2 linked regions of the Pelodiscus sinensis genome follow. The protein of the gene in region 2 interacts with the protein of the main gene of each other region in a pairwise test. Links are inferred from orthologs where the notes say so. Each region holds a gene or a part of one and is shown on either strand. Other genes may lie near its edges.

Region 1 (16,075 bases), on a different chromosome or scaffold from region 2:
GCGTAGGACAGCAGGGTGGCGGCATTGCCAGCAAAGTCAGTGGCCGTGTCGTAAGCGGAGGCGGCGAAATCTAAGCGGTTGTTGGCCGGGGTGACAAACCAGCGCTGCGGGGACGGGGCCCCGGGGTCCTCGGCTTGCTGGGGAGAGAGCAGCCCGTTGGTGTGGGGCACGCTGCGGTCGCTGCCCGGCCCCGGGCCAGCGCCAGCACCGGGGTGGAAGCGGGACTTAGCGTAGTTACTCACGAACTGGTCCTGCAGGAAGGAGCCGGCCATGGCGTAGCGGGCCCCGGGCACGATCTGCGAGCGGGGGGAGTCATTGGGGGAAGGCGTGAGCCGGTCCATGTCGCAGCCCGTGTAGATCCTGCCAAAGAGAAGGGCAGAGGTCTGGGTGTCCCTGGGTCCGCTGGAGCCAACGGGACTTTTGTCATTGACTTCAGCGGGACCAGGGCTCTCCCGGCGCTTGCTCCCTGGCTCAAGAAGCCAAGGCAGGGGAAGAACGGCTCGGGACGGAGCGGCGGCGACCCGGGTCACCCTTAGAGACACCCCTAAAATGCAATGCCCAGAAACACCGGGGCAGAAGCGGGGCCGGTCAGGGATGTAAAGAAACCAATTGACCAGGTGGACATCCCTCCACTTCTGGCTCCTCGTGATACTGAATACTGGGGAGGCTATTTGAGGACAGAAGAGTTACAAAATCAGGTGATTTTACACCTGCCATTCGCAAAGCGGATCTCACATTTTACATGTGTCTTAAAAAAATAGGCCAACACAAACTGAAAACGAGTTTGCTCTCACGTTTATATTTAGTAGGGTCGTGACTTCAAGACTGACGTTTCTTGTTTGTATTCATTTAATATCTACAGGTCAGCTAACATCCCACCTTCGTGGATGTTGCCACCTTTTCTGGGACCTTGGGAAATCCTACATTGTTGAAAATTGACCAGTCCCATAATATGCGCAACAGGTAACCTTGTCCATTTCTAGCAAAACAGCATGAATGGCAGACTGAAAATTTATCTCTGCGGTTTGACATTTCTGTTCAAGTCATAAACCAACTAACAGGATTTTACTGAATTTAAATTCAGCTAATCTTCAAACACCTACTTAAGGAATTTTAAAAGCAGATGCGCCCATTTTTTTCCCAATATAGCCTAATGGATGAACAGTTAGTGTGTGCATTTCATTCAGGCTAAAACTGTGCTTTAATTAACCCTCCACGCCTCCTGAAATTACTTACCCAGAACACAGTTGGCCCTTAAACAAATGCCATGTGCTAGACAGCATTTAAGCTCTTTTTAAAGTGACATACATGTGAAATTTATAATGTAAAAGAAAAGAAAGCAGAGACATTTTGTGGTTGGAGAAGTCCAGACGGGTTTTCATCTATGGCCTATCCTATATGTAGAAAAATCTTATTTAAATTACACAGACCACGTCCTCTCTTCTGCATTGCATCAATGACCTATTTTGTATGCTCAGATAGTGAGGTTACTTCTCCTTTGAGGCTCTTATCCAAATCACCAGAACCCCGGTGTTTTCCCTCCGGTCACTTGTTGCACATTGCCTTACATTTGGGGAAAAGGGTGTGAATGAGCTACAATTATATTTCCCAAATAAGAATAAATCTGAGCAACAATCAGCTACTTTACATTTAAGCAAAGCGATCGCTCTGGGGCTTGATCCCAGTTTTAGGCCCGGGTTAAGAAAAGCATTTAAGCACTTGCCTAGTTTTATGTATGTGTATACATCTCGTTATTTTAATGGGGTTTAACTGGTTTGCTGAATAGGGATGGACTTAAGCAACTGCTTAAAATTAAGCACATATTGTAGTGCATTTTTCAGTGTGGGCCTTACTAGACGGCAAATTTACAAACTCCATTGGGATCCGGAGATGGCTTTATCTGTGGGGGCTGTTTCCATCTCCTTAAAACACAAATACGCTTCTCTTACTCAGAAAGAAAAAAAGAAAAAAATCCCCTAAACAGAGAGCCCAACCCTGGCAGGTGGTCATCCCACTCTGTTCCCATTTAATAGGCGCTCAGGCAAAATCAGGGGCGCAAAACCCGTGCGCTTTCCCGAGATGTTTGAGTTCCCCATCTCCCACCAGGTCTTCGAGTAGCATTGGGTTACGGGCCCTTCCCACTCACTCTCTGGATGTTTCTCACTTATAGACGCAAGTGCTAGAGCAGTTTGTTGATTTTATTGCTCTATAGTCACAATAATGGGAGGGGAGTGTGGGATGGCATTAGCCTCATTTTTGCTTTTGCTTTCACTCCACTGTGTTGGGAGGTAGAGGGAAGTACTCAGAAGTAGCACTTCAGCGGGGGTACTCTTAAATAGTCTATCTATTCCAAACCTTCCTAACAGGGACCATTGAGCAGAGTACAATATTTTGGGATGTTCTATTAAATTCCCGAAAAGGAGCAGGAGGGGGCAAACCCCTAAAGTCAAGTGACAAGTTACAAAACATCCCATCATTCGCTCAAAGATTAGACCAATATGCATGTCCGATATGTTTAGGATGATTTTGGATACATTAATAACATATCCTATGGATTTTTTTTCTTTCTACGAAAACATTTCCCATTATATATAACTATCGATATATAGGAGTAGCAAAATAAAAACCAAAAGAAAAGCGAGATAGTGAGAAATAGAAGAATTTTTCTTTAAAACTTTCGGTATAGGATCCTGAATGATTTCAAGAGTCGGTTATATTCAGTAATTTAGCTCCCATAAGTGGTCCTTATTTCCTAGCCTACATACACAGCCTGAATAAACGGGAACTCGAGAACGGGCACAAAGTCATATGCCAGAAAGAACATCACAACTGCCAAAGTCACACGTAGCCTCAGATGCAGGCAGAGGGGGTGAGAAGAGCATCTGGCCCCAGAATGCACAAGGCTGTATTGAATGTGCTAGCCAGCCTCTTCCAGCTTTGCCTCTTAGTAACACATGCGTTCAAATTAATTCGAAAGTTTTTCAAGAAAAATTCTAGCGACAAAAATGAATTTCATTTTTAGTAAGTTACCGAAATCCAGTCCCGACTTTAGAAGCCTGCGTTTGCTTTCTCTTATCTGGGAGAACTTTTTAAAGCTTAATACCTAATATTTCAATGTTTAAATAATTAGGGAGATTTTTAATCCAACCCCAAATACTAAACCAAATAGAGTCTCTACCACTCTACGTGGGCGCATCCGATAAGATGGATAATAAAATACAATTTACTTACGTATCATAATTGTCTCGAAAGCCTTTTGCAAAAGGGTTGTGATCTATTTTCAATTGTGTAATCTGGGAAAGAAAACAGAGGATCAATTACTATTTTTTTCGCACCAATAAATGATGAAAGCATGACAATTGACAAAGTACTTCAGGCACATTTTTAAAGTGGGACTGGTCAATCTTTTTTCATTAGTTACTTCAATTGCCGCTCTTCAAAATATAAAAATTAAGCTTAGCCTATTCATAAAGGTTTTGGTTAATATGATCGATCTTCCAGTTACTGACAAAAAGGTGAAATAATTTTGATTCAGTCTGTTTTTAAATGTAATTGTTCTCAATTAAAGTTTAAATGTAGGATAAGAAATAATGAATATTTTAAGTTGTTTATATTATATTTAAGAGATTATTGTATCTACACTTGTCTTATTCAAAAACAGAACACAACGACTTTTAATGCATGCCATTTAAAGAGAGAGAGAAAAATATCTGACTACACATTAACAGGATTTTATTCAGATTAAAACGTTCCATCACCCCCAACACAGTCAGCAGCATCAGTGGCTCTTTACAAACTTGCTAAAAATCCCATCAAATTAAATGTGCGCTTTTCAATGAAAACAACTATTGGCAAATACACTCTAGTGTTAATATAATACATGCCGACCCGGTTTCCGCTCGGCTTCCTAAGATGTTCACAGTGGAAACTGATGGCTATTGCGCCCCTATGAAATATTCACTCTGTAGTCCTCACGCCAGACTTGTGCGTATTCGTGAGACTAGCCAGGTTCAGTGAAAAGATACAGCAATGTGAGCCACACGTTTGCTCGTGCTCCGATTGGGGCTCACAATTCTTGACAGTTTTAGCCAAAGGTACAGAATTACAACTTCAGGGGTACACATCTAGGTCCTGGCCACATGGATTCTGCCGGGGGACAAAAAGGAACCGGCCTGATTCAATCATATGCCGGCCAGCTCTCTGCACGGCGTCTAGCTGCCTCTCGTTTTGCGGGCACCTGCACAGAGCAAAGCGCTGCTGGCCGGTTGTGGGTGAGGATGGCCGCGAGTGAAATACAGCGCCAAGCTCTTTACATCGGTGTTCTGGTAGGCGGTGACAGCTATGAACTGAGTCTCCGGGAAGGTGAAAGTCTGCACTCGGCCCGGCTGGTTAGTATCCTCCGTCCCGTCTTCGTTCACCTCCACCACATGCAAACGGGGCTGGTACTTGTGTAAGGACTGCAAGACCACCATCTGTCAGGCATAGAAAGGGAGGGGGACAAAGGGGCTCAGAAGCTACACTGGAGCGAGGAGAGGGAGAAAAAGGCGGATATTTCCCGGTATTTTTCCTTGGGAAAGCGTTTGAATAACAAGCCGTGGCCGAGCTGTCAGAGAGGTTGCACTGACTCAACAACGAAGGCAAAATGCATCCCCTAAGACCTCACCTAGTCCCTTTTTAGCAGCATAGCTACAGATTCACCTCACTTCAGAACGCCTGTATTCATGCCCTCACCTCCCATATACATAAACCCCACTCCTGAGCCTGGTCTGGGTTTTGTTGCAGGATTTTGTTTTCTTCCTCGGAAATCATGTACAATTCTAAGGAACAGAAACTAGTATGTTTCACACCAGCAGTCTGATTTAACTTAAGGGTCTGATTTGAATTTTCAGGGTTTTATTGGAAGCAACAAATAAAGAGCGTGTGTGAGTTTCACTGACCTGCCCGTTGTTGTTTGAGGCTCCTTTATTGTTTGTAAGTTTTAATTTCCCAAAAGAGATTTCCTGACGCATCCAGTGGGCTCCAGTGTTGGGGGAATCGGGGTGCATGTACACTCGGTTTCCTAAAGAAACAAATAAATGCGCCACGATTATTACACACACCCGGCTTCCTGCAACTGTAGCAGCACGCACAAGGTTTCCATGATTCGCATTAAACTTAGCAGCGCTTTACCGGCGATGCTCCCTTCGTTTTAACCGGGGAGGATTAAAATAGCATTTTCTGAACACCCTTCACTCCCCCTCCCTCTTCTTATTTTTTTAAGCATCGTTGGCCCATTCTCGTTTAAGAAGTCGCCCGAGCCAGTCCACAAAGGCTTTAATTAACCATTCTCACCTAAATATGTGTCGGGAAAAGTGTTAATTGGAATAACTTGCCTTGTACATTGGTGTCCGCCTTGCCGCAAGGAACCCATTTGCCTCCTTGAAATCTCCAGTGGTTGGGATCGGCCAGAATTACATCCACAAAAATATTGTAATGAGCCGTGGGATCCAGACCAGAAATATTAAAACTTAGGAAAGGGAACATGCGCCTGTGAAAAGAAAACACACACAAACCCCACCAGCACCGCGTTAAGCCGAGAACCACAAGTCACATAAGAGAACATAAGGGCTGCCTGAAAAAGGGATGAGGACAAAAGGAGACGGGAGCCGCTTTGGGGGCTTTCCCTGCAGGGACTGCTGGCCAGGTGGGCACCTGCACCCCATCTCCAGACACCTTGTGCAAGCACATCACGAGCCATCCTAGCAGGCGCCCCCTGTGACCTACCCCGTCCAGCTCCCCATTTTCACGATGGGCTTGGGGGGCTCGATCGTCAGTCACCCCGAATATCTAGCGCAGGTCGCCCCCCTCAAAAGTCTCCGCAGGGTAGAGTTCGGAGTCCCAGCCCCACCACCCGAGTCCAAGCGCTCCGGGCAGCCGCAGCAGCGTGTGCCGCTTACCTCCCTTGTTTGGTGATGATCATCTCTGTCTGGTGCCGGTGAAATTTCAGCCAGAGTGGCCTGTTGCACAGGTAGACCTGAGCTTTGCCGGGCACCAGCCCCGGCTGGGTGGAGGAGAACTGGTAGAAAGGCGCCCCTTGGTAGGAATGGCCGTACTGCTGGGGGTAAGGGTAGCCTGCCGTAGGGTAACCTTGTGGAGAAGAGTTGGACAGGAGGCTGTTGTAAGCTCCATTGGTGATCACAGGATGGTGAGCCATGTAGCGGCTTGGACTGGCGATGGAAAAGGCTGGGTGAGCGGGTCCATGCTGGCTGGGGTAAGGGAACATGGTACTGGGAGCAGCGGCAGCGGACTGGGGCTGGCTGGACTGAGAGAGCAGATAGCGATCTGCAGCAGATCCATCGAAACTGTGACGAAGCTCCGAGACCCCGTCCAAGACGGGAGAGAGTTTATTTCTCTGGACGTCCCCTGGTGTGTCCTTGGAGTCAGGAAAATTGTCTGTATCTGACTGATTCGTCATCCCCCTGGTAATTTTTTTCAGAGGTGAACTTCTCTCCAGGTTGTCAGTGGTCGAGATAATGGGATGATCATGCAAGGCAAGCTCAGATCCGCCTGCATGTGGATAACTGCTGCTCACATTGAGAAATTTCTTGGAGAGCATGATAGAGGGAGAAAGACAATGCTCCAGCTGCATAGCTCTAGCACCAATACAATAACCCTTCAGTCTCTGGTTCTAAAGGGCTCCTCTTAACATAAACTAGACATCCTGGGACCCTCCCGAGGCAGAAAGCATTTCTCCCACCAAACGCTTCCCCAACGTTTGATTTACTTTTTTTTTTCCCTGGGAGAAGAGATTGGCCAATTGACACTATGCAGCAATAAGGAAAGACTCACTTTTGATCTTGCTGCTTGTGGAGCGGATGAAACGGCTCCTGCCATTGGTTAACCGCTGACAGTAATTTAATTAGATAGACATTAATTAGGATAATCACCTGGCTCCTGGTCGCGACGATCATGGCAAATTGAAGGAGATGATTTTATTGTGGGATAGAAGGGAATGGTGGGGGGAGACAGTGTGTTTGCTGTGAGTGCTCATTACCGTGTGACCTTTCGAGCTTTCTGACTAAGGATAGAAAAAAAAACCCAAGGACCTACGATTTCCTAATTTTTTTCCTTTTTGTGAAGAAGGGAAGAGAGGAGATGCTGGGGAGTTTAGGGGTCAGAATGAGCCCAGGTGTCAGCATTCGCTCTGAATGTAACGATTTCATCGTACAAACTGGAGGCCTGATTTCACCTTGGAAGTTCCAGAATGTGGCTTCCCCGTCTAATATGCAGTGCCCAATAACGGGCCGAAATCCTTCATAAAGATAGTCCCCCTCCCCCACCCTCTCCATGTAACTCCCTCCCTCCAAAGGGAACTGCTGCGCTGGAAAAACAAAACGCCCCTGAAACTCCATTCAGGCAGCATATGTACACAGCGGCAATGCATCGTCTCCTTTAAGTTGTGAAATAATGATAAGCCGCACAGCTGAAGAGCCCTAATGCATTTGCAGGCATGTGTACTGCTTCTCCGGTCACTGCATATTTGATCGGCGGGCTGGCGTGCGGGAGACGCTCGGCAAGGCAGGGCGCGGGGACTGGAGCGAGGGCTCCTTTGTGAGAGATTTGTCACAAGCGCTGCGCTCGATTCACAGAAGCACATTGCAGTGTCGCGAGGGCTCCTGTCGATTCAGGGCGGCGCGAGGGGCTGCGTCCCAGACCCCGCTGTTATTACACGAGGCTGACACCTACTGGGAGAGGCGCGCGGTGGCCCAGGCCCGGGCCACTCCACCTATCCGGCGGAGAGCGCTGCAGGGCCGCGGCTTCCGCAGCTGGAACAGCGCCGCTCGGCCCGGCGAATAGGGAGGCCCCATTGCCCCGAGCTCGCTTAAGCCGCTTCCCTCCTCTGGTGGCAGAGCGGGGCTCTCCTGCTAGCGCTCTGCAGATCCAGGGACACGCACCTTCTATCTGGGGAGTGGCTGCAACGCTCCAGGGCTCCTTTCTGTGGACAGGGATGTGGATGGAGACACAAGTTTTGGATCTAGAACCATGCAAATGTGCAGATGTCCATTGAGAGCCAGCCAGCACAGCCCCCTTTATGCAGAGGTGGACACAGATACCCGTTGTGTATCCCCACAGACTCCACAGTTGTGGGCTGGTGTGTGAAGACGCACAAGCAGAGGTGTGACCCACACACCTACTGGATGTGAGTCACTGTCCCATGTAATGGCACTTACACCACATACAGAGAGAAAGGGAGTTTGTCCCAGGGCTGTAGCTGAGAGCCAGCTGGCTTTTAGCTCAAGCTGTAGTGGTTCCTGCACTAAGCTCCAGGGCCCCCAGATTCAGTTCCACCTGTTGGTGTTATAGAGGCAGGGGGCAGAGAGGGAATGAGGGGGCCATCACTGGCATGTCACATGGCTCCTGGTAGGAACTATGGGCTTGGTTTCCCCACCAGATGTCTCTAGCAGGAACCCCTGGGGGAGGGGTGGAGAGGGATGCTGGGCCACAGCCCACCCCAGTTGGTGGGATTGAGCCAGCTGCTCTGTCCAGGCCATGCACTCAGGAGGCAATAACTACAGAGAAGCAAGGGGGTGTCTGTTGCTTGTATAGTTGGTCTCCGCTTTCCTGTTTAACTAGATGTGGTTTGTTGGCGGGGATAAGCTCAGCAAACCCAGGTGTTTGCAGCTCAGGTGTCAGCCACAGGCTGCACTGCAATGTTGGGCAGGGGCCTTGTTTGTCCCCTCCCCCCCATGAAGATAACAGGAGACCATGATCAAGCAATTTGTCTTCTGCCATCCATTTACGCTCTAAGAGGTACCTCTAAGATGGAATATTCCCACAGGGAGCAGGTAGGTGATCAGATAGCAGGTGTGAAATGTCAGGAAACTTTTTTTGGTGTGGGTGGAGGGAGAGATGGACAAGAGGTATATAGTTACATATAGAAGACAAAGCCTTTAATATAAGGAATGGTCCCAATAATTTTAGGACATCTTATCACCCTAGGAGAGAGACAAGCAGGGAGGGAGATTTCTTCTCCCAAGCACTAAGCCTTAGTCTTCTGGGTATGTGGTGCTAACCTGACTGCAGAACTTCTAGCTTAAGGTAATCACACCACTAAGCTTGACAGAGCTTCTTGTAGCCCAGGAGTGATTGAAGCTCAAGTTGGTGATGTTTACACCAAGATCTTTATTCTGAGTGTGGTTTTTCATGGATACACACTGCAGACTAGATCACAATGCAAGCCTGCATTGCTTTCCTCCATTTGAAACTGAGCTGAATCTTCATGAAAATGAATTAAATTTATATTGGGATTGGAACCAAGAGGCCCTTAGACAAAGTACTGGGGAATAGTTTTTGCACCTAGACCACAAAAGGTGTACTTTTAAACCAGAAAAAGGTGATCTCATAATTCCTCTCGGAGGAACTTATGGGTATTCAGCAAATCTGTTTTACTTTGTAAAGTGAAAAGTGAATCTTTAAATCTAGACCAAATGTTTTCCTGAAATATACTCTACAAATTATTTGGTGGAAATTCTATACCCATGAAGGAGGCCAGACTAGATGAGCACAGTGGTGTCTTCTGGCTTTGGACTATATGAATCTAATAAAGATTCTTTAAAGATCTATTTTAATATTTCCTTTTAAAAGGGCACCAACTTGAAAATCTTTTCATCTGAAAGCATACATAATATTGTTGCAAATAGGCTGGAGAAGCAACAAGTGTTTTTTCTGTGAACTTAATAGTTCTTTATATAATCAGCTTCAGCATCTTGCATTTTGTCTCAAGCCACATGATTGCTGTTTTCCAGGTCTACCACTATTGGTGAATCTCTTTCCCCACACTTCACAAGAGTATATTTAATAGTAACATCAGAGAGAGGGGAGGGAAGCTGAAATTAGAAGCACCAGGTAAGTTTAGGCAGAGGAAGACAGTAAAAGAGGAAGAGTGGGGTGGGGGAAGTATTTAGGTATTTCTCTCTCTCCCTCCCCCCCCCCCCCAGGAAAAAATATACGACAGTCATCATGTATCAAGAGTTTTTAACACTAGAGAAACCAAGCCAACAGCTACATTAGTTAGTAGACAGATAGAAATGAAGCATTCAGTAATGAGTTTCAATTTTTGGTTCCCTAACTTAAGTACAAAATTGTGAGCAGAGACAGTTGAGGTAGTCTATTGGGATCTAGTTTATTCAATAAAACCATGTTTTAGAATGGAAGCTGTCATATCATATCTTTAAGTAAATACTTCTAATGAAGTCATTCATGACTTACTCATGTATTACTAAACCAATAGAATTTAGGTATCTGCCATACAGACTCATTGTTAGCATAATATAGATCTAATTCTGTGAGAAGCAATATTTCATGCCAACCAGCTGTAGTTGCTAGGGATGTAAAGGTGTAGTCAATTAACTGATGAGCAAAAGCTTATAGGTTAATGCTATAGACTACATGCATTTCCTCCCACCCCTCCGCCCTGCCCACCCAGTAAATTTTTTAGCAGGCTGGCCAGCAGCCCAGCTCAGTCCTGGCTGGCAATGGGTCCAGGACCTATGCTCACTATGGCTCTGCATTTAAAGCATATTAGGAGCCAGCCCCACTCCCAGGGACTATACAATAGTCAACTAACCGATAAGAACTCATGAGGTTACTAGACTATTCAATTAACCAGTATTTAACACCCTAATAGTTTCTGGTGCTTACTTGTTTTACTAGTACCATGTGCTCCACTATGAAATTGTATTACTGGAAGATCAGGAGATGGGATAAAGACTAGATGAAACAGTGGGAAGGGTTGTACAATTTAGCACATTGAAGCTAATTTATTCAGTAGAGTACATCATTTTACATGGCAACTGCATTTCATTTTGTTGCAAATTGGGAATCATTCAGAAATGGTAACATTTCACTTTGTTAACCCACATAGTTCCTAAATTGGGATAATCAGTGCAGATATGCAGTGGCAGGTGCTGAGGAACTGTCTTTGGGAGGCAGTAGGGGACGTGAATGCATGTGAGAGAGAATCAAACTACCCATCTAGCTCAGCTCCTAATGAAGCTGTGCTCTGCTGGGGTTTAAGAGGCTACCTCAAAATCTTCCCTTACTCCCTCCAAGATAATACTTTGGTCCCTTATCACCATGCGCACCAGCTCCCCCAAACTGCCACACATTCCCTTTCCCATGAAGCTCCTAAATTGCAGGAAAAGTAAAAACTAGAAAATGACAGATGCCTTTTGGGAGTTTGTAAAAGAAAAATTGAGTCAAGCTGATTACAAGCTTGAGAGGTTCCTGCACTAAGCTCCAGAGTCCCCAGATTCAGTTCCACCTGTTGGGTGTTACAAAGCAGGATGCTAGGGACAAATACAGGCTACAGCGGACATGCGACACTCATCATGTCTGTTCCCTTTCAGCTATCCTCATTTTCCCACTGCAAGATAGATCTTCATTCCCACATACCCTCTCAACTTTATACACCAATCCATGGTTCTTTGTAGCAAGAATTATGGTAGAAAATTCTAGTTGCCTTGAATGGTAGTCCTCTATGCAAATAATTTTAAGTTAAAGACCTAAATATAAGAGTTGCCTAATCAAAAAAGTCTGGATGATAATGGAACAAGCTGATTACCACAAGTACTTCTTGCCCTGTATAGAATATTTACTGCATAAAGAAAGTGGCACAGTGAGGCAGAACCTTATGGGGTTATTTCTTTGATACAAGAAGTCACATGAATCACTTCTGAAGCTTTGTATTTAAGATCTGCATTTAACAGGACTTAAACGGCATCATCTGCCTGAACCTATGAATTTTCATTTACATTTCTTAAAACATGATTTCACTAGTTAAAAAGAATACCATGTGCGAACAAAGATGTAAGAGGGATACATTATTATGCTAAAGAACTGAGAAGCTTTTGCAGCTGTGTCTTACTGAAAGCCACCAGCTTGGCTTTATTAACTAGGAAACTCACACATCTTTGAGTGAGTGCTCCCATCTTTACTCAGATTGAAGTGGGAGGAGGAGAGACTCTGACCTCACTATTGTGACACTCAATAGAAATTGATCTCATATTTCATCACTATTTGCAAGGAGAGTTTTTCCTCTGTATTCTACTCTTCAAGCAATGCAATCCTTTCAGAAAATATTCTCAGGTTGTTTGCTATCAGCTATTTGGAGATGGACTTGCCTAAGTTAAGGAGGCTGGAGGTGTGATGAGCATCAGTGCATCAGCTTGTCATTTTCATAAGCATTTGCTTTGAATGGAGTTCTGACATCTATATGGCAATAGTGTTTGAACTTTGACATGAAAAATGTATGTTTTTCTAGAATACCTCAGTGATTAATGGAAGTCATATTTCATTTGTTGTTTTCTTAGCTCAATGTTTCACTTTAAATTTAAAAATGCAAAGCAAATCAGCTTTACCTGCATGAGTACTCTACAATGGTTGTCCATTCTGTGTACAATATTGACAAAAAAAATCGTAAACCAGATAGACTGTAAATGTATTTTTATTATGTAGCAACAATCAAAATATATATGTACTACTGATTTTCCCCCAAATATTAAATGAAAACGTAATACATTTTGCCCACTCTCTGTTCTTGAACTGCTTTGGAATCTGCAAAGACCCTGACAAAGAAACAGAAGTAATTGCACAACAGAGACTGAAAGGTGTTATAGTGCTGCTCTTAGACTGCAAATGATGCCAGATGTCTTCCATTTAACCAAATATACCTTCAGCAGTCTCTAGTTTCCACGTGTTAGAAACAATAGAAGAATATACACAGAAAGCACCACACTAACAGTAAATTTATTATTTAAATACAACTGTATCCAACATAGCTGCTAAACACTGAACAATATTTGAGGTCATCAGCACATCCACATGTTCTTCTAAATGACGTTTGGGGTCCTGAAAATAAATAAATATTAATGTAGGTTAGAGGAATCACTAAAACACGAACACTTCAGAGAAGATTTCAACTATTTGAGAAAACAGTGAGTTAATGGACACTGACAGCCTATTTAAGCCCCCAAGTTTTCCTTCCTTCAAGATACATGTAGTTTTGACTCTGAATTTCTAAAAACCCTGTAGCTCTCAATACTACTCAGAAATGTGTACACGTTAATAAATAAGTGTTCTTCATATTCTGGAAGGATATATAATAGCACGTGTTTTTATACAATTCCATACATAAACGCTACATCTACACTGGCGCGTTCTCACGCAAAAACTCTTTTGCGGAAGAGTTCTTCTGCAAAAACTCTTCCAGAAAAGAGCATCTACATTGGCATGTGCTTTTCCGCAAGATGTGCTTTTGCACAAGAGCATCCATGCCAGTGTAGATGCTCTCTTGCTCAAGAAAGCTCTGATGGCCATTTTAACCATAGGGCTTTCTTGTGCAAGAAATTCATGGTGCCTGTCTACACTGGCCTCTTGCGCAAGAACAGTTGCTCAAAAGGGCTTATTCCTGAGCAGGAACATCAGAGTTCTGGCATAAGAAGCCCTGATTTCATACATTAGAACGTCACTTTACTTGCTCAAGAACACGCGGCCAGTGTAGACAGGCAGCAGGTTTTTGCACAAGAGCAGCCGCTTTTGCGCAAGGGTGCACCAGTGTAGACACAGCCAAGTGAAATCCTGTCTTCAATGAAGTCAATGATAGAACTCTTCCTTGACTTCAGTGGGGCCAGAATATCACATTCAGTATTTTAGCTGCTTTACATTTTAGAAGCTAGGTCAATAAAAAAACTAAACTAATCAAACACTGCTGTAGATCTGACTGCAAAACCTGCAGATTGCTCTGTGTGTGTTAAATTTATCATCAGAGATTACACTTAACTGTTCATAGTAGGGGGACACATTTTAAAGTTTCTGGTGGCATGCACAATGGTTCAGGGGAGGGCATGTGTGTCACGCTAAAAATCCCTCTCCCCCACCGCGGCATTACCTCTGACTATTATTCCATAAACTCAACCAGAGCTAAACAGAACATGCTGCGGGGACCTACCCGGCAGCGCCCCAGCTGCTCCGTCCCAGGCATCCAGATTCAGCTGCTGTTGAAACTGATCAGCGGCTGATTCCAGGAAGCCCGGGGCAGAGAAACTCTGCCTCGGGCTTCCTGTAGTCAGCCGCTGGTCAGTTTCAGCAGCGACTGAATCTGGATGCCAGTTCCGACTTAAGTACAAATTCAACTTAAGAACAAACCTACAGTCCCTATCTTGTACGTAACCCAGGGACTGCCTGTACCCCACATCCGAGTATACCCTGCAGCAGGGGGGAGGCGGGGTTGTAAAAACGAATAAAACCTGTGGGTTATATTAGCTAAATTACGGTAATTGGATAAGAGGGAAGGTCTGCTCGTGGATTGATAACAGGTTAAAAAAGACAGGAAACAAAGGGTAGGAATAAATGGTTAGTTTTCAGAATGGAGAGAGGTAACTAGTGGTGTTCCCAAAGGGTCCATACTGGGACCAATCTTATTTAACTATTTATAAGTGAACTGGAGAAAGGGATAAACAGTGAGGTGGCAAAAGTTGCAGATGATACTAAACTGCTCAATATAGTTAAGACCAAAGCAGACTGGAGAGCTTAAAGCATCTTACAAAACTAGGTGATTGGGCATCAAAATGGCAAATGAAATGTAATGTTGATAAATGTAAGGTAATGCACATTGGAAAAAAAAATCCCAACTATATATCCCAGTGTTTCTTAAACTGTGTTACGTGGCACACCAGTGTGCCGCAGAGAACAAAAGAATTCAAAATGGCTGCCTTTACAGGGGTAGGCGACTTTTTTTCCCCCCCTCAACTTCCCCTTGACCCTTTTCCCCAGATTTTTTTTGTGTTGTTTTGCTCAACCAAAAATCCTTGGTGTTCCTCATATAAAAATTTATTTGGGGTTCCTCGGTCTTAAAAAGTTTAAGAAACACTGATATAAACAGAATGATAGGGACTAATTTAGTTATAACCACTCAAGAGAGATCTTGGAGTCATTGTGGATAGTTCTCTGAAAACATCCACTCAGTGTGCAGCAGCAGTCAAAAAAAGGAAACAATGTTAGGACTCTTTAAAAAAGGGATAGATAATACGCAGAAAATATCATATTGCCTATATATAAATCCATCTTGAATACAGGCAGTCCCCGGGTTATGTGGATCCGACTTATGTCGGATCCCCCCCCAGCAGACCAGGGAGACACGGAGCGGCTTTTCTCGCCGCGGAGGACGCAGGCGGCGGGACCACCGTGGTGCATATTGGCAGTCTGCTGGGGGGAGGGGGCCACAGCTAGTTGGGGTTCCCTTACCCCGTTCTTAAGACCAGGGAGACGCGGAGCAGCTTTTCTCACCGTGGAGGACGCGGGCAGTGGAACCGCCGAGATGTGCCGCGGTCCCGCCGCCCCCGTCCTCTGCGGTGAGAAAAGCCTGGTCTGCTGGGGGGGGGGGGGGGGGGGGAGGGCGAGGCTAGTGCCCCCCCCCCCCCCCAGCAGACCAGGCTTTTCTCACTGCTGGTCAGTTTCAGCAGCGACTGAATCTGGACGCCTGGGACAGAGCAGCTGGGGCGCTGCCTGGTTGGTCCCCGCAGCGTCACACCTCGGCGCTGCGGGGACCAACCTGGCAGCACCCCAGCTGCTCTACCCCAGGCGTCCCCAAGTCAGCTGCTGCTGAAACTGACCAGCGGCTGATTCCAGGAAGCCCAGGGCAAAGCAGCTCTGCCTCGGGCTTCCGGTAGTCAGCTGCTGGTCAGTTTCAGCAGTGGCTGAATCGGGGATACCTGGGGTACAATATGTACCAGTTCCGACTTACATACAAATTCAACTTAAGAACAAACCTACAGTCCCTATCTTGTATGTAACCCGGGGACTGCCTGTACTGCATACAGATGTGGTCACCTCATCTCAAGATAGATATCTTGGCACTGGGAAAAAAGATTCAGAAAAGGGCAACAAAAATTATTAAGGGTTTGGAATGGGTACCATATGAAGAGAGATTAAAAAAGACTGGGACTTTTCAGTTTAGAAAAAAGGGGAGAATAAGGGGGATATGAGAGAAGTCTATAAAATCATGACAGGTATAGAGAAAGTGAATAAGTAAATTTGT
Region 2 (16,520 bases):
GATTTTTACATTCCCGTTCCTGACTGAAAAGATCCTGAAGGAAGTTTTGCAAAGGCAGACATTTATATCTGTAATGAAAAATGCTTTATTTTTATTTATTTCAAATTGTAGATCTCCAGCAATCTTCTGATGACTTAACTTAAGGCCTTGAGGGTCTACAAGCCATTTTCATGCTATTGTTCTATAAATCAAATAAACTAATCTTTGACCTTCTGCAATAATTCATGTAGCTGAGCAGGAAAGAGAAGAAGAGAAAAGTGGGGTTTGCTACAAATTGACAATAGTCCAATATGTAGTAGTCTATCAAGATTAAAAAGATTATTTAAATGATTTGAACGTATGGCACAAAATACCTACTTTCACCTCAAACCTGGCCTATCAATTTTGAGGACAATATCAGTTTGTGGATTTTAAATAGAGTACCAAAATTCATCTTAAAAAGGAAAAACCAAGTTGTAATTCTAATTGGAATAATCGTTAACTACACATACAATGTACATATGGTTTAAGAATACCAATAATAGCAGAACAATTTATAAGTTGTTAAATAAAAAAAGATTAAAAGGAAAATATTTTTCAAAGTTAATGCTTGAATAATGACTACTGAATATTAAGAAGTGACCTTTGCTACAGACTATATTAGGATTACTATAGACTGATTGCCTTTCACTTGTATCATGAACTCTACATGAAAGATTATTAGACTATAAAAGTCATGAACAACTTTTAGAGCTTTTGGTTAAGGACAAAATACAATGCACCTTTTTTGTACTACTATTTTGTCCTTTGCCGTAACAAGGAGAAAGTCTGAAAAAGGAATGCTTTCTACAATATGGAAAGGAGTCTAATGGCTGGGAAAAGATGCTGTTTAATAAGTACCATTTCAAATATGTAGGTTCTTAGGAGTCAAGGCCAGAATGGACTTTTGATCATCTAGTCTGAATTCCTGCATAACACAGGCTATAAAACTTCCCCACCACAATTCCTATAGCATCTCTTTTTAAAAACATTGATTTAAAAATTGTCAATGATAGAGAATCCACCAAGATGCTGGGTAATTGGTTCCAATGGTTAATTACTGTCACTTAACAATGTGTGCCTTATTTCCATTCTGAATTTCAAGAGCCCCAGCTTCTAGCTATTGGATCCTGTTACACCTTTCTTTGCTAGACTGAGCAGCCCGTCAAATAATTGCTGTCCACGTAGATACTTACAGACTGTAATCAAATCTTTCCTTAACCTTCTCCTTGTCTCGTCAGACACAGCATTAAATAAACATACTATAATGTAATTCTATAATGCAGCTAAATATTCTCTAACAGAAATACAATTGCAAGGTGTAAAAGTCAAACCAAGTAAAAAAAGGGCTATTGTGAAGTTTTAAATAAAACCACCACTATAAGAATTTAAGCAAATGTTTTGTATCTGCCAAATAGAATCTTCAGCTAATTAGATTCTGTTGAAGAAAAAATATACTATTGTGACCTTATATGCTTAAACCTATTTCAAACAACTGACCCATTCATCTTAAACATCTTCTCTGTTGCACAAGATAGGTAAAACATTGCAGAAACAGGTAAAACATTGCAGAAACAGAAGTTCAGAAATAATTAAAAGAAAGCCCCTACAAACATGGCAAAACCTTGCTTCCTCAAAATTATTTCAAGATAAAGTCAGAGTGATGAAACCATTCCTACACCTTACAAAAATCCCAGCCACTTTATCAGTTCCTCAAAAACACAGACTAGGACCTACATTTTTACCAGCTCTGAAATTGGATCCTATTACAGTAGATACTAAAAGATCACTGTAAATGCTTTATCTGATATCAGATAAAGAATGATACTTGGTACCTGTTCCAAAACATCAACTATCTTGCCATTTCTCAAAGCTAGAAAAGTAGCATATATCTGAATCTTCTTTTACCAATCCTTTCACATAGCTGCAAGTGTGACAGTATCATTCAATACTGCAACAGTTCTCAGAACTGGCACAGTAGTATTATAGGCAGAAAGATGCAATTGCTTTTTTTGCACCTTAGATTTATTTGGGGGAAGAGAAGTTGTTTTAGATCTTTTTTTATTGTTCAGTTTTAGATTTCCTTTAATTTTGTTTAAAAAGTGTCATTACATGCCATTGGGGTTTTTTTTTAAACCATCCTTTTTATGTTTCACACACTAAAAGATACCAGTATAAGTAGCAGAAAGCATACTGAAAGCCAGCAATAGTGTTCTCAGCCTAGTGCAAGTAAAAAACAAAATGAAAACATGAAGCGACATTAAACTGAGTTATGTAAAGATTCTCAGATCTGAATAGTTAAAGTCATTAGTAACACAAGAGGGCTTTTTAAAAAATAATATTTTAATCTTGCCAATGTAAATTTAATATGAATTTACTGCAGTGTAAGGCATTAGACTGAAATATTTACAGTTAAAGCATTCTGACTGCAGTTACTTACGCTGATGTCTATGAAAGCAACCTGTAGTCTATGTTGTTGTGAACATCAGACAGTCTCCATGTTACCATTAGATGAGTGCCATAAATCAATGTGAACCTTAGAAGCCTAGAAAATCAAAGCTGAAACAAAATCCTTACCCAGCAAGGACTGAAAACAATACTGAATATAAAATACATTTTTTGATCTTGTGTGTTCTATACCCATGTTCCCTCTTCCACATTAAAAAGAAACCAGATATTATTTTTGGCCTCCAAACACTGTATCACATTGTATTGGCCTCCAAACACTGTATCATATTGTATAGAATGAGCTCAATTATTTTAATGGCAAAATTCTTCACCCGTGTTAAATTGTACACAAACTACTATATGCTATGTTAAGTATTAAGGTTTTTAATTAAAAATGCATGATTATCTCTGATTTATAAATCTAACTAATTGTCTCACTAATGGAAGGAAAACATAGCATATGCCCCTCTCAACAGCAAAGAAGAGTTGCTTCCAAATAAAGCAAGACTTAAAGATTTGTCTATAACTGATCATGTGAAGGATCACATGAGTACTTGCTAATTCTTCACGCTACTCAGAGTACAAATGGATGTGCACAAGGTTGTCAACAAATTCAAGACTTAACGTAGGACTCGCATGGTAACACAACCAATGGCATCCTAAAGGACACCACTGAATTTTATGTGAAAGGTGAAAAAGTTTAACAATGTATAGAAAATTCATAGTTCGGATTATTTTTTCTATGTAATACATGTTTCACTTTAGTGATAAAGAAGTCTATTACATTCATAAAAGTGTATCTATTCCTTCACTGTCCTTACATTCCTTTCCTCCAATATCCATCTTACATGCCTATTAACAGAACTTAAGCATGGGAAACACTACTTCACTGTTCTCTGGCTGTTTATTATCACAACCTTGATTTCAACCAGTTAATTAGTATGAGATTACAATACAACACATCCAAACAGTTTAAGCAACTAAGAATACTACTCTGTTCAGATAAGAATTGCTTATTTTATTTTACCTGTGTACTTTTTCATTAAAATTTTATTTACCTAGAGTTGAAAAGACGACAAACACAGCAAAGAGCACTTGTGTATGTTACTCTGAGATTTAATCTCCAAGCTAAACCGGGTTTCCAGATGAACATTTCAAAAATATAAGGATATAGGTCTAAGATTTGTTAAACCTCCAAAGCTGTGTAATACATGAACACTACCATTCTCCTTTTCAGAGAAAAAACATGTTTACAGGGAGCCTATATAAGATGGCAATGGTAGCAATATTTCATGTGTCTTCAATGCAAGCCAAGGCCAGGTATGCTATTTTGCAAGAGCTGAATTACTGTAGCAATCAGTAATAAGTCACAGGAATGTGCAGACATTTAGTTGCTGTTTAATTGGAACATGCTTAGCAAGATGCATATGCAGCAATACAAATCAATTTTACACTAGCCTTCCTCAGATTGCTCGAAAATGAATAAACTACACACATCTGAGATAGAACAAAGTAAGAAACTACAACTATAGCTCCCAACAGGTATATTTGAGATATTATTCAAGTGAAAATAATGCCAATAATACAAATAATGGAGTTATTTAAATAGTCTTTAAGAGCAATGATATCTGACCTCTACAAAAAAGAAATAAGTAGTCATAACTAGTTAGCATCCCTGACAGCATGACAATCCAACCTATTTTTTGTGACATTGCTGTGTCACTTTTAACACTATTAACCCACTTACATCACAAAAACATTGGTTTACAGACCACATGAATCAGAAAACTATTTAGAAAATTTAAATAATGTATTTGCACACAAAATAAGTCATTTTACAGTGTTGGCTATAACCACTAGACACATATATTATGCCTGTTATGCCCTTTTTACTACCCATAACTATGTATGAGTACTACAATTCACACACAATACTATCACCTGAAGAAATCTTGTGACAACACAACACATGATCAGAAAATGTTCTTCCTACTGGTATTAGTTTTGTCCAATTTCTTAACCATAGCTTTTTACCATCTGATCAGCATTAGTTAAGCCATTTTTTCTGCTATCCAACAAAAGCTTCTTTAAAGCTTTATAGCTGACAAGGTGTCTTATAAAGGCAATAGGTGCTGTTAAGACAATTGAGCCCTATAATAAACAATAAAATGAAAAGTGATCAAATATTTGTAGTTAAGAACAAAGAAATCTGATCTTAAGACTGACATGATTGTTTCCTCAGAGTTACACTGTCATTGGAGAAAGATGAGTATTTTAGCTCTAGTTTTCAAATCAAACAATTACTGACATTTAAGGTAAGTCATATTGCAAAACATTAAAAAAATAAAAGAACACTTTTTTTTTAAATCAAGAATATATTGTAACTAGTGATCCTTACACAAGGCTTCTAAAAACAGTGAGCAACAAAATGAAAACAGTTTCACTGCTGAAACACCTACAACCTCAATTTTCGAACAAGAAATATGCATAAAATTAGGAAGTTATAAGACTGCAAATATGGTGCATGTCCTTTTCATATCCATTTTGCAACCAAAACATCTATGCCCTGAAGATATGAAATGTGAGAAGACTGATAAAATGGGTTTCAATACTGGACTGTCACAGAAGAGGGGGAACTTCAGCTTCAATTTTCCATCAACGTCCCGATCAGACTGAGTCTCTGCATTTTTTCTAGTATAATTACCCAACACAGATCGATAAAAAAAAAGGTGGAGGACTCGAACTGTCAATTTCAATACATCCTACCCCACTGGTGAACCATCAGCGGTGCCACGTTAACAGCTATCCCAACTTGGGTGTGATGCACGCCTTCAACATCGGTTTAACAGCAGTTGCATAATAAGCCCCCAAAAGGCCAAATTCTTTTCCTGCGTCGTTGTTCCGAGCGGGCGGTGGGCAACGCAAGGGGCTCACACGGGAGCTGAGCATTACCTGAGTATCATCACCGGCATTGCCACTAGCGAGCTGGTTACTATGCAGCAAAGCACAAGCAGGCACCTGGCGCCCCAACGCGCAGATGCCCCCACGGAGAGGCGGTTCTACGGAGGAGCCTTTCCCTGCTCCACAGAGCCGGGCTGGGGAAAGCGGCGGCTGCTCTCGGCAGCCTGGCTGGGAGCCGGGGAGCGCGGCGGCCGGAGGAGAGAGACCGGGTCGCTGCTCCCCTCCGCGCCCATGCTCCGAGAGGCGGGCGCCGCCGTGAAGCCACTGCGGCCGCACGTAGCGGGGGGAGCGGGGGACACACGGGCACGGCGGCGGCGGCTCAGGTGGGCGCCGAGCGGAGCATCCCTCTCCCCGCGCGCAGGGGCCGGGCCGCTCGCTGCTGCTGCCGCCGCCCCCCGCCTCCGCGGAACTTACTTGCCGATCACCTCGCAGAGCTCGTACACGTCCTCGAACAGCACGTCGTCGTCGGCCATGGTCCAGGCGGGGGGGGACCCGCCGGAGAGGCGGCCCGGGGGAGGGGGGCCCGCGGGCACGATCCCCTCCGCGCTCCCCGTCGGGCACCACCTTCGATCCCAGCCTCCGCCGCCGCCGCCCGGGGGCTCCCGCGGCCACGCCGGGAATCCCCGCTCCTCCTGCGGGCCGCGGCCGCCCCGCGCGCCTCACGCTGGCTCCGGGCTCCCGCGGCCCCGCCCGCTTCAATCGCTCGCTCGCTCCCTCCCGCCCTTCGCCGGCCGCGGATCCGGCTAGCGGGGCGGAGCGGGCACCATGCAGGGGCCGGGTAGCGGAGGAGGCGGTGCGCGCGCGCGAGAGAGAGGGGGGGAGGGGAAGGGGAGGCAGGCGCGACCCCGAGCCGCACTCCGGGGCTAACGGCGGCGATAAAGCGCTTTACCGGCCGGCCGGCGGGCGCGCGCGCCACCACGGCCACTTCCCCAGCCCCGTCACGCAAGAGAGCAGGCGCGCGCGCGCGCGCCCCCCACCAAGCAAGCACGCGGGCACCTTCTTCCCTCCCTCGCCACAAACGCGCGCAGAGCCACGCCCACTATCCCCCCGGGAAAACTGGGACTGGGCGCTGTGCGCAGGCGCGCCGCGGTGCCACATGACGTCATGGGGAGGGGTCGAGCAGGGCGGAGGGGGTAGGCGGGTTCCCATGTGAAGCTCGGGGCGGGGCCATCCCCCTGCCTAGTTTCTGAGGCAGGAGGCGCGCGCTGTGTGGCTCATTGAGGAGCGGGGAGGGGGGAGTCGTAGGGCCGGGAGGCCGCGCCCAGAACCCGCCGTGGGACCAAGGCGCTTGTCGGCAGCAGCGGCCGCGTGCGCTCAGCGCCCGGGGATAGTAGAGCGGCGCGGGGAGCAGCTGCCGTAGGGTGTCTCCGCCCGACGCGGGGGTTTGACGGGCGCAGCTTGGCCGGGCGAGGAAGTAGCCAGCCAGCCAGCCAGACGGACCGTGCAGCAAGTGCTGGCGGCGTCCCGCGGGAACAGCCCGAAGGGAAGAGGAGAGAAGACCTTGCTAATCTCACTCTCAATGACTGCTGCCAGGTGGCAAGGAGGTTCACAGCGACGTGCAGTCGCTTTTAAGGTGGCAGCCCCGCCTCTCGCCTTTGCTTGTCAAATGCTTTGCTCGTAGTCCAGTGAAATGAACGTTTAAAGCGCCATTCGTTTCCCAGTCCACAAGTTGGTCAATATCGTTTCTAGTAACAATCATGCCAGCAGTTTCAGCAGGAATGTATAGAACCTCGTTCCCCTAAAACAGGGCACAGTGGAGCCCTTTTAGTTATAAAAGGGGAAAAGTCAACCTCTCCAACTCAGGTTTCATCCAAATATGAATGGTTGATAAGAATTGATCACTGATAAGAACTGATCATCTGAAGAAGTGGGCTGTGCCCACGAAAGCTCATCATACCATCTACATGTTTGTTAGTCTATAAAGTGCTACCAGACCATTTGCTTGCTGTTTTTCACTGATAGGGAGCCATAAACTGCACAGAACTGTGTCAGGCTGCATAACACTGATAGTATCAGAAATATATTCTGATGTAAAGAGAATGCTAGTGAGAATGTGACAAAGGTGTACATATTTACTTTCTCAGTCTCAGCGAAAAATACATTGTGGACCTATTCTGCATCTTAAAACAGTAAATGTCTGACATGGTCTGGTGCTTGTCAGGAGTTTCCCAGTCAGTTCCGGAGACATCAGCAATAAACCCATAATAAGAAGCCTAAGTAATTCCTAGACTGTATCAAATAACTCAGTCAACTGGGCTTGGAAGTATGAGATGTAGCATGGTAGTCTGTGGAGTATTACTACTCCATTTCTCAAATGCAAGTCAGAATCCTCTCAAGTCCAATACAAATGAGATGTCTGTATCACCACCTTAACACTCCTGTTCCATAGTGAACCAAATCAGCTAGTAATAGAAATGTAGCTGTGTTAGTCTGGGGTAGCTGAAGCAAAATGCAGGACTAGATAGCACTTTAAAGACTAACAAGATGGTTTATTAGATGATGAGCTTTCATGGGTCTGGCCCACAAAAGCTCATCATCTAATAAACCATCTTGTTAGTCTTTAAAGTGCTACCTAGTCCTGCATTTTGCTTCAAATCAGCTAGGACAGTCTTGCACGCTCTCACTCACACACACACACACACTCTTGCACGCGCGCGCTCTCTCTCTCTCTCTCTCACACACACACACACACACACACACACACACACACACACAAAAAATCCAGAGGTTGATTTGTGATTAAGCCATAGATGATGATGATTTTATAGAACAGCATGAACTAGGACGAACACCTACAGTCATGTTGCTCACATGCCTGGTCTCCCCATGTAGTGCAGCTAGCCCATGTTTGGACATTGCTGTTTGGTGTGATCTAATGCATTGAAAAATAAAGATTTTTGCTCTTCAAAAGCATCTGTAAAAGGCAGAGCTAAAAGACAATCTTGATAGGGACTGTTTGGCAGTATCAAAAGAGGAGGAGGAACTTCTGCATGTGAAGTGCCCCTATTTAATAGGGAACATTATTTTAAAGCTGTGTACTTGCCATTCCTTTTTGCCTTTCCCCCATGAACTATACCCATGTAAACAGTTTAGTCTAATATTTTAAATAGAGTTAAAAGCCAAGGTATGTTCTTATTTTTCCTGTCCCCAATTTTTATGTTGATCATTTTAGATTAAATTATACAAATTGAAGTAAATCTCTTCCATGCTCCATCAACTTAAGCATTTTTTTAAACCAGTGAAGTTACACAAAGTTATGGCTAATAAACAAGCTGAACTTTATTTTGACCATGTTTTTTACCATTATCTTAAACATGTCATCACTGAATTAAAATTATGTAGCAATATTGTAAAATAAGAATTTAAAATCAGGACACCTTCATAAAAGTTATACACTGATTTTGAAAGAACCTATGAAAATCACTCCATAGGGACTCGGACTCTGCTTTTCTTTCACACTTAACACTCCCATTGGAGTTTAGATGCATAAAAAAAAATGCCGGGCTTTTGGATGCATAAAAAATTTGCCAGAGCTCCTGCTCAAGAAGAGATCCTACAGAAAGTAATTTGGCTATTAGCATATAGACTGGCGGGATGCATATTTCCACCTTCTGTCATCATTTAAAGAAGGAGTTCTCAGTCCTAGATGAGATTTTGTTTAAGGCATCAAGATAGAAAAATATGCTTAAAAAGATACATTGAGGTCATTTGAGAATCAAAAAATCTACAAGGACGACCTGGGACATAACCAAGAAAGCTGTTAAGACTTGTCACATATGCCAAAAATATAGGTCAAGTCAAGCAAAAGAGCCCATGTTGGTAGCCCAGGAAAAACTGACACCCAGGAACAAAATAGGAATAGATTTGTTTATATTCACTGGAAAAAAATATGTTCTTGTTTTAGGCTTTTTTTCCTCACTTCCCTGAGATAAGATTACTAGAAGAAACTACAGTCAGTAAATCCCCTAGACTGGGAAGCAGATTTTTGCTAGACTCAGTATGCCTGACATGGTAATATTTAAAAAGTCTCAGGGAGGTAGTCTGGAACTTTAAAAACAATGAATAATCTTGTGTCACTTTAGAGACTAACAAAATATATATTATCATGAGTTTTTGTGGCAAAACCACACAAGGCGCCTCTGTTAATCTCTAAAATGACATAGGGCTACTTATGGTAATGTTTGACAACGGACCGCTCTTCCCTGTGTTCTTGCAGTATTATTTCCACTGCTTCAATATTTAAAGGTGATTGCATTTCCTGATGTAACATGGTTTTGTCCGAGGGGTCCCCTACAGGATGGGGAAGATCAGGATTTGGATGAAAAAACCCACCTCTGTGATTTCCAACATCTCATGGTCAATAGTGGCGATGTTCTAAATCCCACAGAACTGAAATAAATGATTCCCTAATCATTAGGGCCTAATGGAAGGGATATAACAGGAGACTCAGCAAAATTTGCATGCTGCTCTTGACCAATGTGTCAAATCTTCTACCTGCCACCTTGACGATGAGGCTGGCATGAAGACATGGTGTACAGACAAATTATTTCCTCCTTTGAGATTTCTGATGTTTTCTGTATGGTTCAGATGTATAATGACTTCCTCTATTGTGGTTGAAGCATAAAATGTTTCTGCTTTTGTGTAGACTACTGTGGACCACAATCTTGTCTGAGAGTGTAAAGCATCATCTGTCTTTACAATAAAAACTTCAGTTGTAACTTGTAGCCTCTGATAACTGGACCTGCGAGGTTTCTTTATGACGGTTGCCAGGGTTTTATAAACTTTCAGCAGCACCCAGGGCCACAAGAAGGGATATATCGGGGTCAGCAACCTTTCCAAAGTGGTGTGCCAAGGTTTAACCCTCCTGCCCTGGGCTGTGCCATGCTCCCGGGGCAGGGGTTGTCTACACTGTGCACCCTGTGGACCACCTTAGTCAATGCAAACCTTTCCTGGACTACCTGTTGCTAATGAAAACCCACCATTAATTACATAATTACACCCGAGCCATTTTGCTAGTGCTGCAGCTGTGGAGAAGAGTTTAATTTAAATTATTAAACAGATTAAGCATTTTAACTTTCTCATGTAAGTTTATCAAATTTCATTTAAAATAAAGTAGAATATTATGTCCAATACAAAAGGTTTCAATGTTTCTTTATTTATGGCAGGGTGGGGAACCTTTTCTGGGTTGGGGGCCCCTGACCCACAGGAAAATCAGTTGTGGACCACACAAGTGAGAAACAAAAAAACTCTTCCCCAACCCTCACTGATGTGGCCCCCAACTGACACACCTCACTCCTCTGGTGCTCCAGCCCCATAGGGTGAGGGGAAGGGGCAGGGAGGACTGAGGTTCAGGGTTTCCCAGAGGCAAGATTTACTTTTCTGGGGTTCCAGAGTTAGTGGATTTTGTGGGGCCCCTTATGCTCTGGGATGGGAACAAAAATGAGAGGTTCAGTGTGTGAAACAGGGCTGCCAGCAGATGGGTTAGGGATGCAGGATTTGGGTGGGAGGTGTGGTGCAGGACAAAGTGAGGATGTCAGGGTCTGGAAGGGAGTTTGGCTGCAGGAGAGCATGTGGGTGGAGGATACAAGAGGGAATTTGGAGGCAGGAGGGGGAGTAACGCAGAAAAGGTGAGAGGGTGAGAATGCAGCCAAATAGCTAGTTGGGGACAGAGGCAAAGAAGTGGGGCATAAAGGAAAGTGCAGCTTCTGCAAAGTACAATTGTATTCCCCCCTCACATCTTCCCTCTGCTCCAGCCTCGCACCCCTCAGCCCTCTGGTCCCGCCCACCCCCAGCTTGCTCCCCTGCATTGCTCTATGCCCCTAAGTGTAATTCCTGCCCCCTCCCATCCTGCCCCACATCTTCCTTCACCCTCCTCCTGCCCCCACATTGTTGTGCTCCCAGCACACTCATGAGCAGGCAAGCAACGCTGGAACTCACAGCCCCTGGGAGCAGCACTGGGGTGAGCAGAGCCCGGGGCTGCCCAGGGCTGGCTTCAGCCTAGCCAGGCACAACAGTGCACTGGGGAAGGGGCTCCCCAACCCCGCGTACAGTCCGCTGGGAGCAGCATGGCGCACCCTGGACCCAGCACGCCACATGTGACCAGCCAACCAGCAGAGCAGGCCCAGCCCCGCCTCTCCTGAAGCAAGAAGCCTGTAGTGCAGGAGGAGGGGTTAACCCCTTAGCTCTGAGGTGCTGCAAACCCAGGCCTGGCAGGGGCAGCCCCAAGGACATGCATGAACCTCCAGCAGGAGGCTGGAGCTGCAACATGAGCTCCCTGCTCCATGGGAGGAGGAGTGGAGCTAAGCTCCCACCCCGCGTGCTAATCAAAATCGTCTTATGGGCTGCTTGTGGCACGTGTGCCGAGGGCTGCCAACCCCTGCCGGATATATGAACCTCAAGCTGACCTTTGAAAATCAAGGTTTGAAGTGCCTCTGATATATTGAGTCTTTTGATGAGTTTACAGATGAAATCCCAATTTCAATTATATTTAACTAATAAGGATTACTAACTGATGACTAGACATAGAATTTTTCTCCCAGTCATATAAATCTAGCTCTTGAGCTCCCTGTCTTGAGGTGTAGCTTTCTGTTGATTATGTCTACACAGTACAACCAGTGACCCAATCATCTTTAAAAATTGCTCAGGGCCCTGGAAAAGCACTTTGTAGCAATGATCAGCTGTTTTTGCTGTTTGTGTCAAAGAACCACACATCTGCCAGAGTGACTTAGCTGGCTCTCCACCCCCTCATTGATGGGCACTGCAAGATATCCAAGCACAGAAGTGTGAAAGATGTCCAGAAGCTTATGCAGTTTTTCCTGATCCTTTTCTACTGGCATTGCCAGTGGATCTGCCTTCTAATACAGCAAGTCCAGAAAGTCTTGTTCTCATCTGAATTAAATTAGATCAACAGTTCTCAAACTGGCGTTAGACCTGCTGGGACCTTAGGTTGAAGCCAAACCCTGATGTGCGCCTCTCAGGAATACCAAGGGCTTCAGCCCTAGATGGGAGGACTCAGGTTACAGGCCTCTCCACTGAGGGCAAAAAGCCTTGGGCTTCATCTTTGGAACTCTGCCCAAAGTGGTAGGTTTGGATGGGCTCAGGCTCCAATCCCCGTTTTTTCTTGTCAGAAGGAGGCTGTGGTGCAATGAAGTTTGAGAAAGCCTGAGAGAGATAATATGGGTTCCACAGCATCACCAGGAGCTAAAGAAATAGGTCAGGATAATTTTCTGACTAGGTCTCCTCATCAACATTATGACAAGTCTATTCAGTGGGCAGTGGGGCAGAGTCTCTTACTATAATGCCTTTTTGTGAGCTATTAAAGAAATAAATCTAGCTCTGGATTAGGAAGCAGATGTTAGCTTTCTAGTTTGGCCTATGTAGGACTGGATGTGACCCACAGGTATTGCAAGCAACCTAATCATGCAATTCATTTAATACATGTATCAATGTATCATGAATTTTTATTTTTACTAAAACTATGTACAGGAAAGTGTGGAGTTTGACCATTTTTTGAAGTCACTCTTTCCATTTCAACATTTAAAAAAAAAGGTGGGTTCTCCTGTGCAAAATGACATTTTGTTTACAAATTTAAGATAATTATAGTTGTGAATAAATGGTTGAAATAAGTAATCATAACCAAAAATGAACTGTTTCAAGACCCAAATCAACATTTTTCCCCCTCAAATTTTTGGTTCATGAAAATTTAAGATAGACTAGTTGCCCCAGTTCAGGATGGGGACAGGGCCATCCTTACCTATATGAAGAATACAAAGTTGTCTCAGGAACCCAGAAATTTGAGGCATGGGATGTCTTAGGGCATGTCTAGACTACAAGCCTCTTTCGAAAGAGGCTTTTTCAAAAGAGCTTTTTTGAAAAGGCCTCTTTCGAAAGAGATCGTCTAGACACCCACAAGACTTTCGAAAAAGCGAGCTGCTTTTTTGAAAGAGAGCACCCAGGCTATCTGGACGCTCTCTTTCGAAAAAGCCCTGTTTGTGTTCAAGAATGCTTTTTTTTGAAAGGGCTCTTTCGAAAAAAGGAGTTCTTTCTCATAAAATGAGGTTTACCGCAGTCGAAAAAACTGCTGCGTTCTTTTGATTTAATTTCGAAAGAACACGACAGCAGTCTAGACACAGGTAACGTTTTTTTTGAAAAAAGGCTACTTTTTTTCAAAACTCTGTAGTCTAGACATATATCCACCCATCTGCCTCTTCCTATTCCTGTTCTGTGGCTGTTAGAGTCTGATGAGTCTTCTTCCAGAGATGAACTAGTTAACTTAAAAGCGAAATAGCCTTCTAGCAAGTTTATTAGCAGAACATTCAAGTGGTAATGAAGCCAATTAACAGGTATATACTGTCAGTTTTTAAATGTACTGTTAGTCTACAGGACCTTAATTTCACATTTGTTTTAACATATTAGTGTGTTGCTGGCTATTATAAAATCATATTTTTAAAAATTGTTCCTCTCCTCCTGGGCTATCATTGGGTATAGGAGCATGACTTTAACAGTACAGGCAGTCCCCGACTTACGCGGATCCAACTTATGTCGGATCCGCACTTACGAACGGGGCTTTCTCGCCCCAGAGGTCGGGGTGAGAAAGCCCCGTTCGTAAGCTGCTCCGGTGCCCCTGGTCTGCTGGAGACCGTCTCCAGCAGACCAGGGGCACCGGGCGGGTTCCCGCGCTTCTGAGGCTTTGCCAGAGCAAAGCCTCAGAGGCGCGGGGAACCGCCGCTGCTGCCGCTTCAGTCTGGGTGCCTGTGGTCTGCTGGGGACGGTCCCCAGCAGACCACAGGCACCCAGACTGAAGCGGCAGACTGAAGGCACCCAGACTGAAGCGGCAGCAGCGGCGGTTCCCCGCGCCTCTGAGGCTTTGCTCTGGCAAAGCCTCAGAGGCGCGGGAACCCCCCGCGGCTGCGGGTTCAGTCCGGGAGCCTGTGGTCTGCTGGGGACCGTCCCCAGCAGACCACAGGCACCCAGACTGAAGCCGCAGCCGCGGCGGGGTCCCTCGCCTCTGAGGCTTTGCCAGAGCAAAGCCTCAGAGGCGCAGCACCCCGCTGCGGCTCTGCTCCCCGTGTCCCTGGTCTGCGGGGGGGGGGGGGGCGCAGCTAGTGTGCTCCCCCCCCTCCCAGCAGACCAGGCTTTTGTTTTGGACTCTGGGGCAGAGCAGCTGGGGCGCTGCCGATTGGTCCTGCAGCGCCCGCTCTGGGCACTACTGGACCAACCCGGCAGCACCCCAGCTGCTCTGCCCCAGGTGTCCCCAAGTCAGCTTCTGCTGAAACTGACCAGCGCTGACTACAGGAAGCCCCAGGCAGAGTTGCTCTGCCCCGGGCTTCCTGGAATCAGCTGCTGATCAGTTTCAGCAGCAGCTGACTTGGGGACGCCTGGGGTTCTTAAGTTGATTCTGTATGTAAGTCAGAACTGGCGGTCAGTTTCAGCAGTGTCTGAATCTGGACGCCAGTTCCGACTTACATACAGATTCAACTTAAGAACAAACCTACAGTCCCTATCTTGTACGTAACCCGGGGACTGCCTGTATTGTGTAGGGTCTCATAAATCCTAAATATGGCCCTGGATGGGGAAGGCTTCAATAAGGTGAACATTTTCATGGGATAGAAAAAGCATTTCCCACCTATCTCTACCCTACACTCTGAATATTTAGACCCCAAATAAAAAAATATCAGAGTTGAAGAAAGAGAAGACATACTGCTCTTGAAAAAAAGTAGTAGTTCCATCTGGGGTATTGGGAGAAACAACAGACTGTGCTCTGATTGGTATCACTGATGTGCTTGGTACTAATGGAGGAACAGCAGTTACCAGACATAACTTCACTACTGTGAACAGCTGGGAGTCCACTACTGAAGAAACTATGGACTAGGTCCTTTGAAGTCATGTAGGATTTTGGCATCAAGTAAGTCAAATGTTTAGATGGCATTAATACTGGGGCAGTCTCTACCACTTAGCTCTAGTACAGGGCTTTTGGTTCCAGGGAATTTGTGTGATACAGCGGAAACTGGGTTAGATTCACAGTGACTGGTACCTGAATGGTTGCCAGAAGGACCCATCTTGGGTCTTAAGCTATTATTTTTTGCTAAGGCTAAGTCTACACTGGCACTTTACAGTGCTGTAACTTTCTGGCTCAGGGGTCTGAAAAAAAAATCTCTGCACCCGAGTACAGCACTGTAAAGCACCAGTGTGCACTACGCTACAGTGCTAGGAGCTGTCCTCGTTGGCTACTGACCTCATAGACGTAGTTTACATAGAGCACTTGGAAATCCCTCTCCCAGCGCTTGTGCCATGGCCACACTTTGGCTATGTCTACACTCGCAGCTTCTTGCACAAGAACATTTTGCGTAAGGATTCTTGTGCAAGACATCTTACGCAAGAAAACGTCCACACTGCCATGTGTGTGCTGTGCTTTTGCGCAAGAGTTCTCATGGCGGTGTGGACACTCTCTTGCGCAAGAAAGCTCCGACGGCCATTTTAGCCATAGGGCTTTCTTGCGCAAGAAATCCCTGCCGAGCGTCCACACTGCCCTCTTGTGCAAGAGCTCCTGCGCAAGAGGGCTTGCATCTGTTAAAAAAGAGCTTAGCTCTTGCGCAAGAAGCCCTCTCTTACCACGCTGTACTGTAGATTTCCTTGCGCAAGAGCGGGTAGGCAGTGTAGACGCTCTGCAGATTCTTGCGCAAGAATGGCCGTACTTGCGCAAGAAGCCGCGAGTGTAGACATAGCCTTTCAGTTTAAAGTGATGCCGTGGCTACGCTTTAACTGTAAAGTGTAGACAAAATAAAAAACTAAACAGGGTTTATTCTTGTTACAGTAGAAAGGAGCTGCTACAAAAAAAAAAAAAACCCCACATACATAGGGTTCAGTTCAGAGACACACTAAGCGTGCTGGCCGCAGTGCAACAAGAACAACAACAAAATCTCTGAACTAATACTAATGACTAACTATGTACCTATGTACCTAGTGGGTAAGGTGCACAGTGAGCAAAAAGTTTCAGACACCAAAAGTTCCAACTCATAACTACAGGATTGGGAGTCTGCTGTGGTCATTCCTCTCTCCACACTGTTCATTGGAGGCATAAGGACACTCAGGGC

The links.
Region 1: the proteins of CASK (region 2) and TBR1 interact in a two-hybrid assay, tested with the Homo sapiens proteins (2 studies listed by BioGRID and IntAct). The link is inferred for Pelodiscus sinensis from reciprocal best matches to the Homo sapiens genes CASK and TBR1.

What each region holds. Positions count from the first base shown.
Region 1 is NC_134717.1:34,220,024-34,236,098, reverse strand, and holds the start of TBR1 (T-box brain protein 1), read right to left. Parts: upstream 6,870-16,075; 5' UTR 6,629-6,869; coding exon 5,937-6,628; intron 5,528-5,936; coding exon 5,373-5,527; intron 5,060-5,372; coding exon 4,938-5,059; intron 4,473-4,937; coding exon 4,314-4,472; intron 3,294-4,313; coding exon 3,232-3,293; intron 361-3,231; coding exon 1-360. Other genes in the region: PSMD14 (26S proteasome non-ATPase regulatory subunit 14), read right to left, coding at 12,790-12,888. UniProt on the Homo sapiens protein: Transcriptional repressor involved in multiple aspects of cortical development, including neuronal migration, laminar and areal identity, and axonal projection.
Region 2 is NC_134711.1:194,348,102-194,364,621, reverse strand, and holds the start of CASK (peripheral plasma membrane protein CASK), read right to left. Parts: upstream 6,458-16,520; 5' UTR 5,901-6,457; coding exon 5,842-5,900; intron 5,454-5,841; exon of another isoform or gene 5,439-5,453; coding exon of another isoform or gene 5,419-5,438; intron 1-5,418. UniProt on the Homo sapiens protein: Multidomain scaffolding Mg(2+)-independent protein kinase that catalyzes the phosphotransfer from ATP to proteins such as NRXN1, and plays a role in synaptic transmembrane protein anchoring and ion channel trafficking.